Linked DNA regions of Rattus norvegicus. The protein of the gene in region 2 purifies or fractionates together with the protein of the main gene of each other region. This does not show direct contact. Links are inferred from orthologs where the notes say so. Each region holds a gene or a part of one and is shown on either strand. Other genes may lie near its edges.

Region 1 (4,555 bases), on a different chromosome or scaffold from region 2:
ATTATTCCTAAATGAAAGAATGAGTTTTGGTTTTTGTTTTACCTGGGTCCATGGGGATGGAGCTGTGGCTGCTCAATGCTGCAGCTCCCTCCTCATCTTCATCCTCACTCTCCAATGGTGGGTCTGGTAAGTGAAGCCCCAGGGCCTGCAGAACCAGAGGAGATAATGGGTCCAGCTTTTGGTACACTCCGTTTCACCTGCTTAGTAACAACTCCCTCTACCATACCTGGATCCGATCTTGGATGTCAGCAGCTCCATCTTCGCCCTCACCCACTGGTGCCAGTTCCACCTCTTCTTGTTCAGGGTCTTGATTGAGGGGCTGGTATGAGTAGCCTGCTGGGCCTGCTCCTGTTTCCTCCTGCTCTTCCTCGGGTTCTTCACTGCTCCAATCCCCAGTTCCTTCTGTAGGGCCCTGATGTGGCCCTAAGTCCTCAGTCTGATTGGGGAAGATACGCTCAGGGCCCATGGTGTCTCCCCCTAGAACTACTGCTGCCATCCGGGCAGGGGCTGCAAAGACAGAAAGGCAGGATAGGGACTGGGTGAGATCAGGTCTCCTTTCACGTTCAGACCACCCACTTCCTTCTCGCGGGTCTTGCATCTTCCTCCCCTCTGTCTCTCGCGCCTCCCCGTCTTAAGTTTGGGTTCTCATATTGAACTGGAGCACACTAGTCTTTAACTCGCCCGATTCCTAAATAAACAGACAACCGGAGGGCTTCACCTCTTCCTGTGAGACCCTTCCCAGAACCTCGCCCACTCACGCCACGCCCCTCCACCGCTAGGTCCCTAGACTACCCGCGATAGCGCGTCCCCGCCCCTTAGCCCCTCTATTCCGGGGGAGTGCAGTACCGCCTGACAAAAAAAACCTTCAGTCCCAGGGCTCCCCTTCAGTGGCCCCAGCTACAGCGTCCCCTACCCGCCCCCACTGATTCTCGGCGTTGGTTTTCCTCGCGCCTCACCCTCTCAGAGCCCACAGCCGGACCCGCACCTTCACTTCCGGCGGGGCAGGACGTGCTGGGGCTCTCTAGTCCTCCAGCCCCGCCCCGTGCCCGAGACTGACGCAAGCGAGGACGATTGCCCCGCCTCCGCCGTCCCCTGCCCGGACCACAAAGAACTACATTACCCAGTGACCCTTAGGCGCACGGCATGTTCTGGTCTTATGCGCATGCGCACAACAGGTCACGCCCACTCCCCCCTCTTTGGAGCCTGAGGTAATTTCTGGACTACAAATCCCTAAAGCTGTCGGGCCCAGAGTTCTCACTGCACGTGCGCGTCTCGCTGCTCGCCGGAAGGACGAAGTCTGGCAGTGTTTATCTCGTTGGGGACCGAGGAATCGGTTGGCGGGCAACGGGTTCTAGGCTGCTGGCAGCGCGAGGACCCGCGGCCCCACCCCGGCCCGGCCTGGCAGGTAGCCTGGGATGGGTTGAGGGATGAGGAAGATTGGAGGGGCTGGCGACGCCCATTGCCTCCCGCTGGGGTCGCGGGGGAGGGGACAAGAAGGATGAGATGGGGGTGGGGAGGAGCTAGAGGGATGCTGGGAAAGAGGAGTGTTAATGGGCCGAGAAAGGTTTGGGGAAAATAGCCTGGAGACGGGTGGGAGAGACCTGGTGGCTGGAGGAAGCGCTGAAAGAACTGGACGAGTGGGTTCTGAAGAGAATCAGGAAGCTGAGCATAATGGCAGGGGGAGGGGGCAGTGTCTGGCGTTGTGGGGGAGGGGCGACTGAGAAAGGTGGAATAAATCAGGGGTCCAGTCATATTCAGAGAGCACAGTTATGGTTGGAAGGGGATAATGAAGGGCTTTTTCCCCTTCGTGGACGTAGACGAGTTAGAGGGTCCCGATGTGGACCTTGGAATGGTGGGAGAAGGAAAAACAAGGAACTGCAAGGCTCTGGGGAGATTAAGAAGGGAAGGGACGCCAGCGGTGGGTTGAAAGTGGCAGGGAAGGGACGTGTACACCAAGGGGCTGGCGGTTGAAAATGGCCTAGTGGTAGAAAAATGCTGGAGACCCAGAGGTATCGTTTAACCCCCTGCCTTTGAGTTATCCCAATGAAGACGATGGGATTCTTTATTCGCCTCTCCCTGGGATAGTAGACTCATCTTTGTGCGTTTTCGTGTTATTGCACTTACCTTCAAGGGAGAGTAAAGGCTATGAAGGGAGATAATAGACTCCACTCCATCACATTCTTTCCTATTTTGTTTTAAGACAGGGTCTTGTAGCTCTGATTTGGAACTTACTGTATAGACCTGTGTGGCTGGCCTTGATTAACACAGACATCCCCCTGCCTCCATGCCCCACCACACCTGCCTGGGGACTTGGATTCTTAAAGCTTTCAATCCCCTTTCTCTGAGAAGCAGACCTAAGAGCAGGAGTAGTGAAGTGAGAGTTTAACTTTTGACTGCTATTTCAAGTTGAGAGAGATGGCTATTTAAAGCATACAGTGTAGGGTTGGGGGAAGTTGGGTGAAAGCCTTATCTGTCCTCTTTAAGGGGACTTCCTGTGCTTGAGGTGTCTCCCCTACCCCTGAGGTTTCTCCTCTCTGCCAAAGCTTTTTTGAACAGGAGGCAGATCACTCAAATCTAGCACATGTCTCCTGGCAAAGGCATCACTAATTGCAAAAAGATTTACCTGAAAGAACTCTCAAATGTACCCATTGTCACTAGGCTGGTAGGGTGTCTTTAAGAGGCCACAACTGCTCTCATGCTCGGGGTTTCTCTTGTCCTGCCCAAAGGCATTTCGGTCTACACCTTCACCCCATCCCTCCTTTAGAGACCCAAACAGGGGAAGGGCTGCTGGAAGTGGCCTGTTCTCTAACAGTAGTAGGGTTGGGGAAGTTGAAAGAACTCTTCCCTACCCCCAACTCCCAGTATACACATACCTTTCTGGCTTAAGTTTCTAGTCCTGGCAGCATACGAGCCACAGCTGTCAAAGGAACTCCTCGTGCCTGTAGACACCCTGGGTGACCCCCGGGACAACGGATCAGCTGACAAGAACGACCTGTGAGGGGCTAATCAACCATGGTTACATGGAGTTCTCTGTCCTAGGTAGGGACACTGATCCACCCTAAAAGCCTAGAAGCTTTTTTTTTTTAACTTTAAAGCACCCATGCCAGCTTTCAGTGGACCGTCTGTGGCTGGCTGGGCTATTAATAGCTGTGAGTATTTTGAGATCCCTACCTTTAAGAGATGGAGGGAAATTCTTAGAGAGGTGGCAGTAAACAGAGCCAGAAGCAAGAGCACACCCAGTATGGGAAAGGGGTTTGGAGACTGGGGGGCTTGGAGCTGTTCCAAGCCAGGAATGGGGTGGAGTTGGCAGGAGCAGGGGGGCAGTCATGATCACCATGATTCTGAGCTGGCAGTCAGGTTAAGGTGGCCCCACCCTTCACTGTGGGAGAACACAGGGCCAGGGCTAGCTCCTTGACCTCTGCAGCTCTCCTGGGGCAGGGCCAGCCACCTGAGCTGTGACTAGTGTTCCTGTAGAGGGGTGGTTTGGGAGGGCCACTGGGGTGGCACTTAGAGGCAAAGATTGGAACTGGACAGAGCCTCATCTGAGGAACCTGTGGCCCTAACTTGTGTACAGGTAGCAGAGGCAGCAGGCCGTGCCGGGGGGGCATGTTCATGTAACCTGTGGCCCAGGGGATGTTACGGTGGACAGTGCATCTGGAGGGCGGGCCACGCAGGGTGAACCATGCTGCAGTGGCTGTTGGGCACCGAGTATACTCCTTCGGGGGTTACTGTTCTGGTGAAGACTACGAAACACTACGGCAGATAGATGTGCACATTTTCAATGCTGGTAAGCCAGTCCTCCCACCTTTCTGGAGTCCCTGTATTGGGGGAGGTCGTGGGCACCTAAATGAAGTTCAGTGGTTGTCTGTATGTGTGGCAAAGGGGTTGGGTAAGAATGTTTGCTTTGGGACATGGTGGCAGCCTCAGAGGAGGTTCCCAGGGCTGAGCAGAGCTGTGTCCACAGTGTCCTTGCGTTGGACAAAGCTGCCCCCAGTGAGGCCTGCTGTCCGAGGGCAAGCTCCTGTTGTGCCCTATATGCGGTATGGACACTCGACCGTCCTCATTGATGACACGGTTTTCCTTTGGGGTGGGCGTAATGACACCGAAGGGGCCTGCAACGTACTCTATGCCTTTGATGTCAGTGAGTATGGATCTCAAATGACGCCTTGGGCCTGGGAAAGGGGTTGTTGTGGGGAGTGCTGGAGAAGGGAAGGCCCGATTGAGATGGATATGTCTGCTGACTTGTGTCATTCTCTTAACTCTTTCAAAAGATACTCACAAGTGGTCCACACCCCGAGTGTCAGGAACAGTTCCTGGGGCCCGGGATGGACATTCAGCTTGTGTCCTGGGCAAGATCATGTACATTTTTGGGGGATATGAACAGCTGGTAAGTCTGGAAAAAACTAGTTTTACATCAAAAAGAAGAAAAAAGAGAAAAATTTAGCATGGTGGAATAGGAGGCTTTTAAGTGGCAGGATAGAGGGTCATAGCCAGAGTAACCATTGATAGTGTTTAAGTGGCAGGATAGAGGGCCGTAGCCAGAGGAACCATTGAT
Region 2 (4,619 bases):
GTTGGGGATTTAGCTCAGTGGTAGAGCACTTGCCTAGCAAGCTCAAGGCCCTGGGTTCGGTCCCCAGCTCCGGAAAAAAAAAAGGAAAAAAAAAAAAAAAAAAAGAGAGAGAAACAATTTAACTCTGGAGGCAGAGGCAGGGGATCTCTAGTTCAAGGCCAGCCTGGTCTACATACTGAGTTATAGCACAGCTAGGGTTACACAGAGAACCCTGTCTCCAAAAATAACAACATGCAATCTACTTCAAACACTCAAGTACCTACGGGTTCTGACCCTGCTTTGTATTCACTGGTAAAGAAGACAATTGGGCACACGAGGATGACCGCCATTTCTCTCTTCCTCAACGCCTTCCCACCCGCCCCGAGTTACTTACAAAGATCCATAATGTGGTTCCTGCAGATGGCACAGTTATCAACCACAATATCCCAGGCCCAGAGGGCTACTGCATTCCACTGCAAGGAGAAGAGGGGAAACAATGCATTTTCTGGGTAACATAACAGACTCGTTAGGATTTCAGCTGCGGCTTCAGTTACCAACTCCCTGGCCATAGGGCCTAGCAAAGAAAGAATGATTTTTGGATTGCATTATTTGTACAACATCAGAGGGTAACAGCAGACCACGTGTACACTTCCTCATTCCTGAACATGGGTACTTTTAATTTTTTTTTTTTTTTACTTTTATTTATTTACTCTCCATTAGTTTAAATCTGGGATGGGTACAGCATCACACGGATTCTGTGTCCAATGGCCTTTGCAGGAAGGTTGCTTTGGAATTTGGCACGAACCACGCCACTGTTTCCATGGGCCCGAGTTACTTTTCCCCAGATCACTCTGGTTTTGTTTGGTTTGCCTCCAGGAGTCACTGTATTGTTTTTTGCTTTGTACACATAAGCACACCTCTTGCCTAAGTAGAACTCAGTTTCATCTCGGGCATAAACGCCTTCAATTTTTTTTTTTTTTTCGGAGCTGGGGACCGAACCCAGGACCTTGCGCTTCTTAGGCAAGCGCTCTACCACTGAGCTAAATCCCCAACCCCAAACGCCTTCAATTTTAAGAAGAGCCGTGTACTCTCTTTGGTTCAGGAGGCCTGGCTTGTAGCCAGCAAAAATGGCCTTGCACCACAGCCTTCCAGACATACTTGTTTTTTTTAGAAGTCCTGTTCCCAGTGGGCTTCCAAAGGCGCCAAGATGGCGGAAAGAGGAAGGCAAGCCCCACCGCGCCAATTTTTTTTTTTTTGGTCTATAGCATAAAATAATTTAGCTAGCCAAACCGACGTGGGAATATTAGAGCTATTTTTTGAACACCCATTTTAGCTTCAAGTACAAACTTGAACTAATGTGGAGCTGTTCCTGACAGATGTGGTCGAACTCAAAATCTGCCTAAGTATTTGCTCTCCACGCAGTTTTGGACTCGGAGGAAGAGAGGTGAACAGACTGAACTACGATAATAAATGGATCAATCGCTAAGGGGATAATCGTGGGATAAGCTGGATAGTGAGTTACCTACCCAGTGTCAGCACACAGAACAAGGTCATCACTTACACCTCACAGCACTGCAAGCAAGTCAATCCAGTGCAATTTTCTTGTCCTCTTACCAAGGAAACTGATGTTCCCAACGTTCATATGTCCAAACTATTATTTTGCTAGTTCTAGTAAATTGATCCAAGACTTACACTGGGCAGGACACCCCTTTCTTTCTTTTTTTTTTTTCTTTTTTCTTTTTTTCTGGAGCTGGGGACCGAACCCAGGGCCTTGCGCTTGCTAGACAAGCGCTCTACCACTGAGCTAAATCCCCAACCCCTAGGACACCCCTTTCAAGGACTACTTTGGTTTGACTTCTCAAATTCAAGTATTCGAGTCTAGTAAATTCGACATTATTTCTATTATTCTTCCATATGGCTGCAGGCCGTAACTGAGCAGCAGTGGCCACAATGAGATGACAAAAAAAGAGTGGGGTGGGGAGGTGTTCTCAGCGACTCTTTCCAAAAGTAATACATACAAAAAAAAAAAAAACAAAAACAAAAAGGAAAAAAAACCCCAAACAAACCAACAAAAAACCAAAAACACCTTCCCCACTTCAAGATCTTCATTTTGAGCAGATTTATGTAATCTTAGGTAGGAACGGGCACTTTTCTCTTAAAGTGCTAGAAAACTATGAAGGGAATAGAATACAAAAGGACGTTTCATATTTTTTGTGTTCCCAGGTCATTAACAATTAGTACTCCGCCTTCTTAAATGGCACAAGTTCTGGGCTTGCTTTTAAAACAAAGCCCACCAGACTTTTTAAATTACCATTTTGTGTTAGAAGTGTACACGGGCATTAGAGAACCATTGGAGTGGCAGAAGCTATGTGACAACTAGTACACGTCTCGGAAGAACCAAGCTTTACACTTGAGACTGTGGGTTTAGAAGGCTAATGGAGGCCGCCATACAATCGAGGGCCCACACCAGGTCCCTCGGAGTCAATAGATTCTAGGATCCAGGAAGGGGCGGAGCAAGAACACCGGCAGAGCTCTTCTGCGGTGTCATCGCACGTTCCCGGGTTTCTCCGCACAGCCCCATCCTCCACCCGCCGCAGTCTCTTCACGAGTCTCCATCCTACCCACCCCACCCTGTCCTTCCCCCAACTCTCAGTCACTTCAGTGACAGCTTAAGCGCTTGGCTCCCGCACCGAAGTTAACCTCGCGTATTTCAGTAAGCAGCTCTGCGATTGGACCCACAGCTTTCCCAGCGAAACTAATATGGCCAAGACAGTGGGCCACCATCATGCCGATCAACCCTAGGCCCGCCCCCCGGCTTCCTTTAGTGGTACCCGGTCCCAGGAACGCCCTGAAATGAAGCCCTTTCCCCCGCGCCTAGCTCTTCCTCGGGCCTGCCAGCCATATCCGCGCCTCCCTAGATTCCTTGAGGAAGGCGCTGGCGAGACCCAACCTTTTTAACTTCAAAGCGCTTCTTGCCCGCGCCGCTGTTGGTGCCGCTGGGGGTATCCACATCCATCGCCGCCGCCATTTTGGAAACACACTGTCGTGCGACCACTGCGCCTGCGCATCGGCTCACTTTCCGCCGCCTGCCCTCTCGCCAGGCTCCTCCTCTCGCACCCCTCCCCTTATTGGCGCGTGCGGGTAGAAGGGGCGGAGGCTGCGGTCACGCCCCTTAAAGGCGCAGGCGGAGGTTCCCCGTCGCTCTCAGCTGGGGAGGAGGCTGGAGTGATTGAGGCGGGGTCGGGCGGGGCCGGGCGGAGCCGGGCGGGGCCGAGCGAAGGGAGCCAACTGGTGGGAATGTCCCTGAGGTCTGAATACTGCTCGCCTTCTGGGAAACCCTGTGGCCTGACTCCTTCTTCTGGGGCGGCGGCTGCTTCCTCCTTCTGCCCCAGAATTTATACCTGATCCAGACCCACAGCGCTGCCCCCAAGGCCGCGGTGCAAAGGGCATGGGCTGGTCTGTGGAAACCCGAAACTCCAAAACGTTCAAAACGGCCTTCTGCTGACCGTGGCCGGCTTGGGGGCCCTGTGACTCGGCTTTCCAAGGCCCGGGCACGGTCTGCGTTCTCAACTTCAGTTTGGGAAATTATTTGATAGGGAGAGAGAGGCCTGAATGTTCTGCCCAGGAACAAACAGAGCAGGCATTCTGCAGCTCTGCCTTCACCTTCTCACCAGAAAGACACGGAGAACACGTAGGAGCCTGGGAGATGCCATCCTCCTTTCTCCCCATTTCCCATCCGAGTTTTGCTACTTGTGCTACAGTTAAATTAGTACATTTGTAGTGGCCAAACTTGAATTTGGGTGAGGCATTCTGATTTTCTTACCGGTCATTACCACCGAGCTAAGAACCTGTATCTTTTGTCATGCTTCCATGTTTAGCCCAGCCCTCCACTGTTTTATCTCCTAAATTTGCAGAGGTATGACTAGAATACATCACCCTCGAACTTCTTATGTGTTCTAGTTCCCTCAACAGGACAACAATGACGTTTTATCTGAAATGCCCACTTGAAAGAAATACTGGCGTGCAATTCAGTGTGCTGTTGATGTCCTTGCTGAGCAGGGCAATACATCCGGAAACACCACCACAGTTTTAACTTGCACAAAGAAGACTTGCTACAGCCTGCAAGGAGTGTGTGTGTTGGCCCAAGTTCTACCTCCCACACTAAAATCGTCATTGATTTATGTGTCAATAGACTCCCTAAGGGATGCTAGAAACCCATAGTTAATTAAGATACTGAGGGCATAGTTATCCATTCTTCAACAACTATCTTGAGCATGCTACTTGGTCTTTTAATTTTTGTTTTACTATTATTGTTTATTATTATTATTTCTGAGACAGGGCCTCACTCTGTAGCCCAGGCTGTCCTTAAAATCTGAGCAATTGGGGCTAGAGAGATGGCTCAGCGGTTAAGAGCACCCAACTGCTCTTCCAGAGGTTATGAGTTCAATTCCCAGCGACCACATGGTGGCTCACAACCATCTGTAAAGAGATCCGATGCCCTCTTTTGGTGTATCTGAAGACAGCTACAGTGTTGTGTACTTATATATAATGAATAAATAAATGTTTAAAAAAAAAATCTGAGCAATTCTGTTACCTCCACCTCCCAGGTGCTGGGGGGGGGGGGTTAGAGGGAGGGAGCC
Region 3 (4,729 bases), about 95 Mb from region 2:
CAGACACAGCGCTACTACAGAGCAAGAAGAGAATGACATAATGAAGATGCAGGACGCAGACAAGCTGAAAACTAAAGTGAAGAGAGACTGGCAGCCTGTAATACAAGAAGTCAAAAGGCACAGGAGACCAGCAGTCCCACTGAGGGGCAGAACAGGCAGTGTCTATGTGAAAGACCAGGCAAGTTAGAATGCCAGCATAATATTACTGCAGGTATCTAGCAGTTAGAAAGAAAATGTTCAAGCAGGGCAGTGGTGGTGCAGCCTTTAATCCCAGTACTTGGGAGGCAGAGGCCCTGAGTTTTAGGCCTGCCTGCTCTATAGAGTGAGGAGCAGAGAGAACAGCCAGTACCACAGAGAAACCCTGTCTCAACAAACCAAACCAAACCAAACCAAACCAAACCAAACCAAACATGTTCACCACGGGCAGTCTACAGTTTACTGATGCTAATCATCCTGACCGGTGTGGAGTTCCTCTGAAGTGTCAATATACCTTATCAATTACTCTATTCCATCTCTTCATCTTTAATACCCACCATACTGTCATCGGTCCAGGCATCATATTGGGTGACCTGTCCGTGGGATGAATCACTCCCTTGTTCATCTGGGATGTTAGCCTGGCTTGAGGTGGCAGCCAAAGGAGGTTGGTCATTATTCTGGAGAGAGGAATGCTCTGAATCTGTAGATGAAGGTAAGTTAGGTGCCGGCATTTCATCTTCAAGAACCAAACATATCAAGTCCCCAGAAACAATCCCATATGAAGCCAAGGTCTCTTCATCTCCAGTGAGGGCATCCTTGTTGTTCAATGTAATTGCAAATCGGGTATCAGAACTGCCAAGAAAGACGGATGAGCATAGTAAGAGCTACCTACCAATATTCCAAATAATGCATTTGGAATACATTAAAGTACATGCTATGTGCCCAAAAGCACTATGTAATATAAAAAAAAAAAGAAAGAAAGAAAGAAAGCAGGGGACAAAATTACTTGTTCTTCTGATCAAATGCCTGGGTCACAGACTTCTAACTAAAACTTCAATAGCCTGGAAGGTATACTTATCATTAATTCATATGTTCATCGATCCTCGAGCATATACTTTTCAGTATTTCAACATGGCTGAACTCGAGGAGCTTCTTAAACTTAACACACCACTTTACTTCCGGCTTCCCATCAGTGCGAGGACTTCAAACTCCGGTGCCAGGCTTGGGCATCAAAAGCTTTCACCACCTCCCCAGCCCGATTCCTTTTTCTTACACGCATCCTTTCCTTTCTCATCAATTAAAGATGTTACTGGAGTTAAATTTATTCCTACTCCACAGACAGTAAGCTGCTCTGCTTGCTGCTTGCAAAGTGTTCTGATCAGCAAGAAGCTGAAAATCTGCCAGTGCCCATGAAAACACCAGGTCAACCTTGGCAGGAAAGGGGACAGTCCCCAAGCAAACAATTCCTTCTGTAGACAAGATAAGGAGCCGTCTGTTTAACAGAGATGCTAGCTTCCCCTCCCACTTTTCTGGCATGTTTTTCCAAGGTCCTATTTTCTGTAATCACCGGCATTGGGGGAATTTCACCCAAAAAAAAATGCAATTCTAGAAGCTCCAAACAAAAACAAAAAGGAAAGAGGAAGCTTCAAACTTTAAAAAAAATCTGTTTTATACCAATCTTTGGTTTGCTTACTTAGAAAATACTCTTTAAGAACAACAAGTGTGTCACATGGACACATTTTAAAGCTTCCCTTTTGTACCCCAAATGAGCAAAATTTCAGATTTTCACACCGACCTCGACTGTGAAAACAGCAGGCAAGAGAAACTAACAGGGGCTTCTGGGTTTCACACCCTTTCAAAACTGCCCAGCTTAACTGAGAAGTAATACAATTTGTAAATACCTTAAAAATTGCATTCTCAAAGCCTGAGGAGTGGCAATTGTTATCAACATAGAAAACAGTTTTACACCAAATGAGTAACATGTAGGTAGGTCACCATTATATGGAAATATATATAATATACGATATGGGAATACATTGTTTAATTCTTTTAATGTGAAAAAGGGCTTTTTAAAATATTTTGCCTAACATTATTTTATTAGACAGGGTCTCACTGTGTAACACTGGCTGGTCCGGAATGAACTCAAAGATACACCTAGCTCTTCCTCCAGAGCGCTAGAATAAAGGTATACCTCAGGCTTACTTAATGGGGAGGGGTGGGGGGGTGACCAATCTAATCAGTTTCATTTTGCTTAATTCCCTACAAATAAAGTGAAAAGGGGAAGACTTATTTAAAATGCCAATTAACGGGAAGAGTTTTTCTTTTAACATTTTTCCCTTTAAAAGCACCAGAGCCCATCTTCTAATTTTATTTTCTTCACTAGTTCAAATTTCTAGCTCAGCACTTGAAATGGGTCATCCATATAGTTGTCTCTCTACGTCCTGAAAATATCTTCTACAGAAACATAGAAGCTTCATCTGCAACCCCATAAATTAGTAATAGAACCTAATCCTTTCTCAACTTGCCACAAAACTGCAAGCTCTATAGGGTCAAGCCTCTATTTTAGAGAAAAAGCAACAAACATTCTCACCCAGAAAATGCCCAGTGACCCGAAGAATGCGTACTTCCAAACCTTGCAGTGAGAAAGTTACAGTTAAGTGCAGTCTGGCACATGCACGCTCACCTGTTACTGTAGCCCTGGGCGGTGGCACAAATTACAGCGACGTAGGATGTCAAGAAGTTTGTCACTTCAGCTACGATGCTTTCCCCGACTTAACCACTGAAGTATCCTAACCGCTAAGGTAAATTCCACCCACAGTGGGTTTACACTGGGAGGTTTAACGCAAGCCAAGCTTCCCGAATTTCCCTCCCGCCCTCGGGGCGGCCGTGACAGCAACCCGGAAGTGACTACTCACCATGGTGGACAGCGGCACCAGGGGGAGGCTGGGCCATGGTCTCCCAAAGCCAGACCCCGGCCAGCACTCAGCTGCCGAGCGTCACAGTCACAGGCGTCTAGACCAGCTACGCCCCGGAGGCCCGGACCTCATGTGACCGCCCGACGCGCGCCATTCCCGAGCCCCGCGACCGCGACGCCGCTCACCTGAACCCCAACGTGGGCAGCAGGTCCTGGATGAGGTGCGCGCGCAGCTGCCCGAGCGTCGGCTCCGACTCCGGCACCTCGAGCGGCTGGGTCCGCTTTTGAAGCCGCACGCGCAGCTTCATGGTGAGCGGACCGCAAGCCTCGGTCGGCCCGGGGAGAAACCGAAAGCAAGTAGCTCCGGGCCTGCGCGCCTGAGGAATCCCAGCTCGCCGCTCTCTCCACCACGCCCCCTAGAGCCTTCTGCTCGAGCCGAGTGCCGAGCGCCTGCGCTTCTCTATCGGTGGCTCTGGGCGCGACAGCGCCACCTGGGGGGCGAGGCGCGCACGGCGCAGGCGCTGAGTTCGCTGCCTTGCGCCGAGTGCCCACGCTACACCCTGTGCGCTTCCGCCCGGGTGAGCGAGTTCGTTCTTTCGGTCCCAGCTTGCAGGATCTTTAGCGCTGGAACGAGCGCTGCCCACAGTGTGCAGACGTGACAGACGCCCTAACCTGATGGCCCTGGTTTTGCCTGTTCTATTCCGGTCATTAGTGCTCAGACCTGCCTATAATTTACATAGGTCCCCTGTGGTGATAAGGATGTGGAGCCAGGGATCCCTTAAGGGCTGTTGTCGGCCTGGGAGATCCTAGAGGCCTACAGGTGAGATAAGAATAGGACAATGGCCGTGAGGTATTAACAGCTGCCTTTGCTTCTTTAAAACTCACTATCGCTATGGGAAACAGATGAAATGATCTTTTAATTACTACATAGGGAAGATAAGAAGCAATTGAGGAAAGTAAAACAGTTTTCCTGCCCAGCTGTGGATTTCGTGAATAGTTGTAATATACACCTTTCTGATGTCCAATTTAAACCCCCCTCTTAATCCTTAGCCCCCCCCCTTCTCCCTATGGAATGTTGTTTTGGCTCTAAAGATGCCTGCCGTCTGCTAGCAGTAAGAATAAACTCACTTAATATAAATTTGAATTGAGCCTGAGTCTTTGGTCTCTCTCCATGGATTTGAAGGCCACAACAGTATAGCTCTCCACTTTCCAGGTTAAATCTTGATAAACCAGCCTGCCTTCATCTCAGGCTCAAACGACATCTTATAGTAAAAGCAAACTAGGTCCATTCCTGTTTATGATTACATTTCTCCTTCTCAAGGATTGGTCTATGTCCCACCTGTAAACATAACTACGAATGGCTCTGTACTGCCCCATGCCTTTATTACAAAAGGTTATTATGACAACCTGTTGCTATGACAAACCCGCTGTGAACCCCTTGCAAACCATGTCTTCATTTCAAGAGGTTTTCATGACCAACTTGGCGTGCGTGCGTTCTGCTTCAGTAATCAGTGCCTATTCGCCTGCCAAATCCTCATCTGGAAACCCCCCTTGCTCCTGAACTATTAAAACCTTACCTTACCTATGTCCAGCCCATGTTCACAAACCAAAACATAAGCTTGCATTAATTAATATGGCCATGATGATCTGGGTTTGATGGTCTTTCTCCTCAGACATGAAGGACTGATCTTTTTTCCTGTGGGATTACCAATCCCTACTGCATTTTTTCCTTGGCGCTGCTCTTAGAAACTTGAAGCCACCCCCTCTATCTCCTTCGTGTTACAGCTTTCAGTTGTCGCACGGTGCATTAGTAACCTCTTGCCGCATATCTGATGTCCT

Evidence for each region.
Region 1: the proteins of Rbx1 (region 2) and Klhdc3 purify together in Homo sapiens (affinity purification with mass spectrometry; 3 studies listed by BioGRID and IntAct, with this or other methods). This does not show direct contact. The link is inferred for Rattus norvegicus from reciprocal best matches to the Homo sapiens genes RBX1 and KLHDC3.
Region 3: the proteins of Rbx1 (region 2) and Fbxo7 purify together in Homo sapiens (affinity purification with mass spectrometry; 5 studies listed by BioGRID and IntAct, with this or other methods). This does not show direct contact. The link is inferred for Rattus norvegicus from reciprocal best matches to the Homo sapiens genes RBX1 and FBXO7.

What each region holds. Positions count from the first base shown.
Region 1 is NC_086027.1:21,798,681-21,803,235, forward strand, and holds the start of Klhdc3 (kelch domain-containing protein 3), read left to right. Parts: upstream 1-1,324; 5' UTR 1,325-1,405; intron 1,406-2,873; exon of another isoform or gene 2,874-2,887; 5' UTR 2,888-3,039; intron 3,040-3,574; 5' UTR 3,575-3,633; coding exon 3,634-3,787; intron 3,788-3,964; coding exon 3,965-4,141; intron 4,142-4,271; coding exon 4,272-4,387; intron 4,388-4,555. Other genes in the region: Mea1 (male-enhanced antigen 1), read right to left, coding at 43-145, 227-496. UniProt on the Homo sapiens protein: Substrate-recognition component of a Cul2-RING (CRL2) E3 ubiquitin-protein ligase complex of the DesCEND (destruction via C-end degrons) pathway, which recognizes a C-degron located at the extreme C terminus of target proteins, leading to their ubiquitination and degradation.
Region 2 is NC_086025.1:114,869,372-114,873,990, reverse strand, and holds the start of Rbx1 (E3 ubiquitin-protein ligase RBX1), read right to left. Parts: upstream 3,013-4,619; 5' UTR 3,008-3,012; coding exon 2,930-3,007; intron 453-2,929; coding exon 374-452; intron 1-373. UniProt on the Homo sapiens protein: E3 ubiquitin ligase component of multiple cullin-RING-based E3 ubiquitin-protein ligase (CRLs) complexes which mediate the ubiquitination and subsequent proteasomal degradation of target proteins, including proteins involved in cell cycle progression, signal transduction, transcription and transcription-coupled nucleotide excision repair.
Region 3 is NC_086025.1:19,721,950-19,726,678, forward strand, and holds the start of Fbxo7 (F-box only protein 7), read right to left. Parts: upstream 3,232-4,729; 5' UTR 3,199-3,231; coding exon 3,077-3,198; exon of another isoform or gene 2,929-3,076; coding exon of another isoform or gene 2,892-2,928; intron 2,834-2,891; exon of another isoform or gene 2,660-2,833; intron 829-2,659; coding exon 534-828; intron 1-533. UniProt on the Homo sapiens protein: Substrate recognition component of a SCF (SKP1-CUL1-F-box protein) E3 ubiquitin-protein ligase complex which mediates the ubiquitination and subsequent proteasomal degradation of target proteins and plays a role in several biological processes such as cell cycle, cell proliferation, or maintenance of chromosome stability.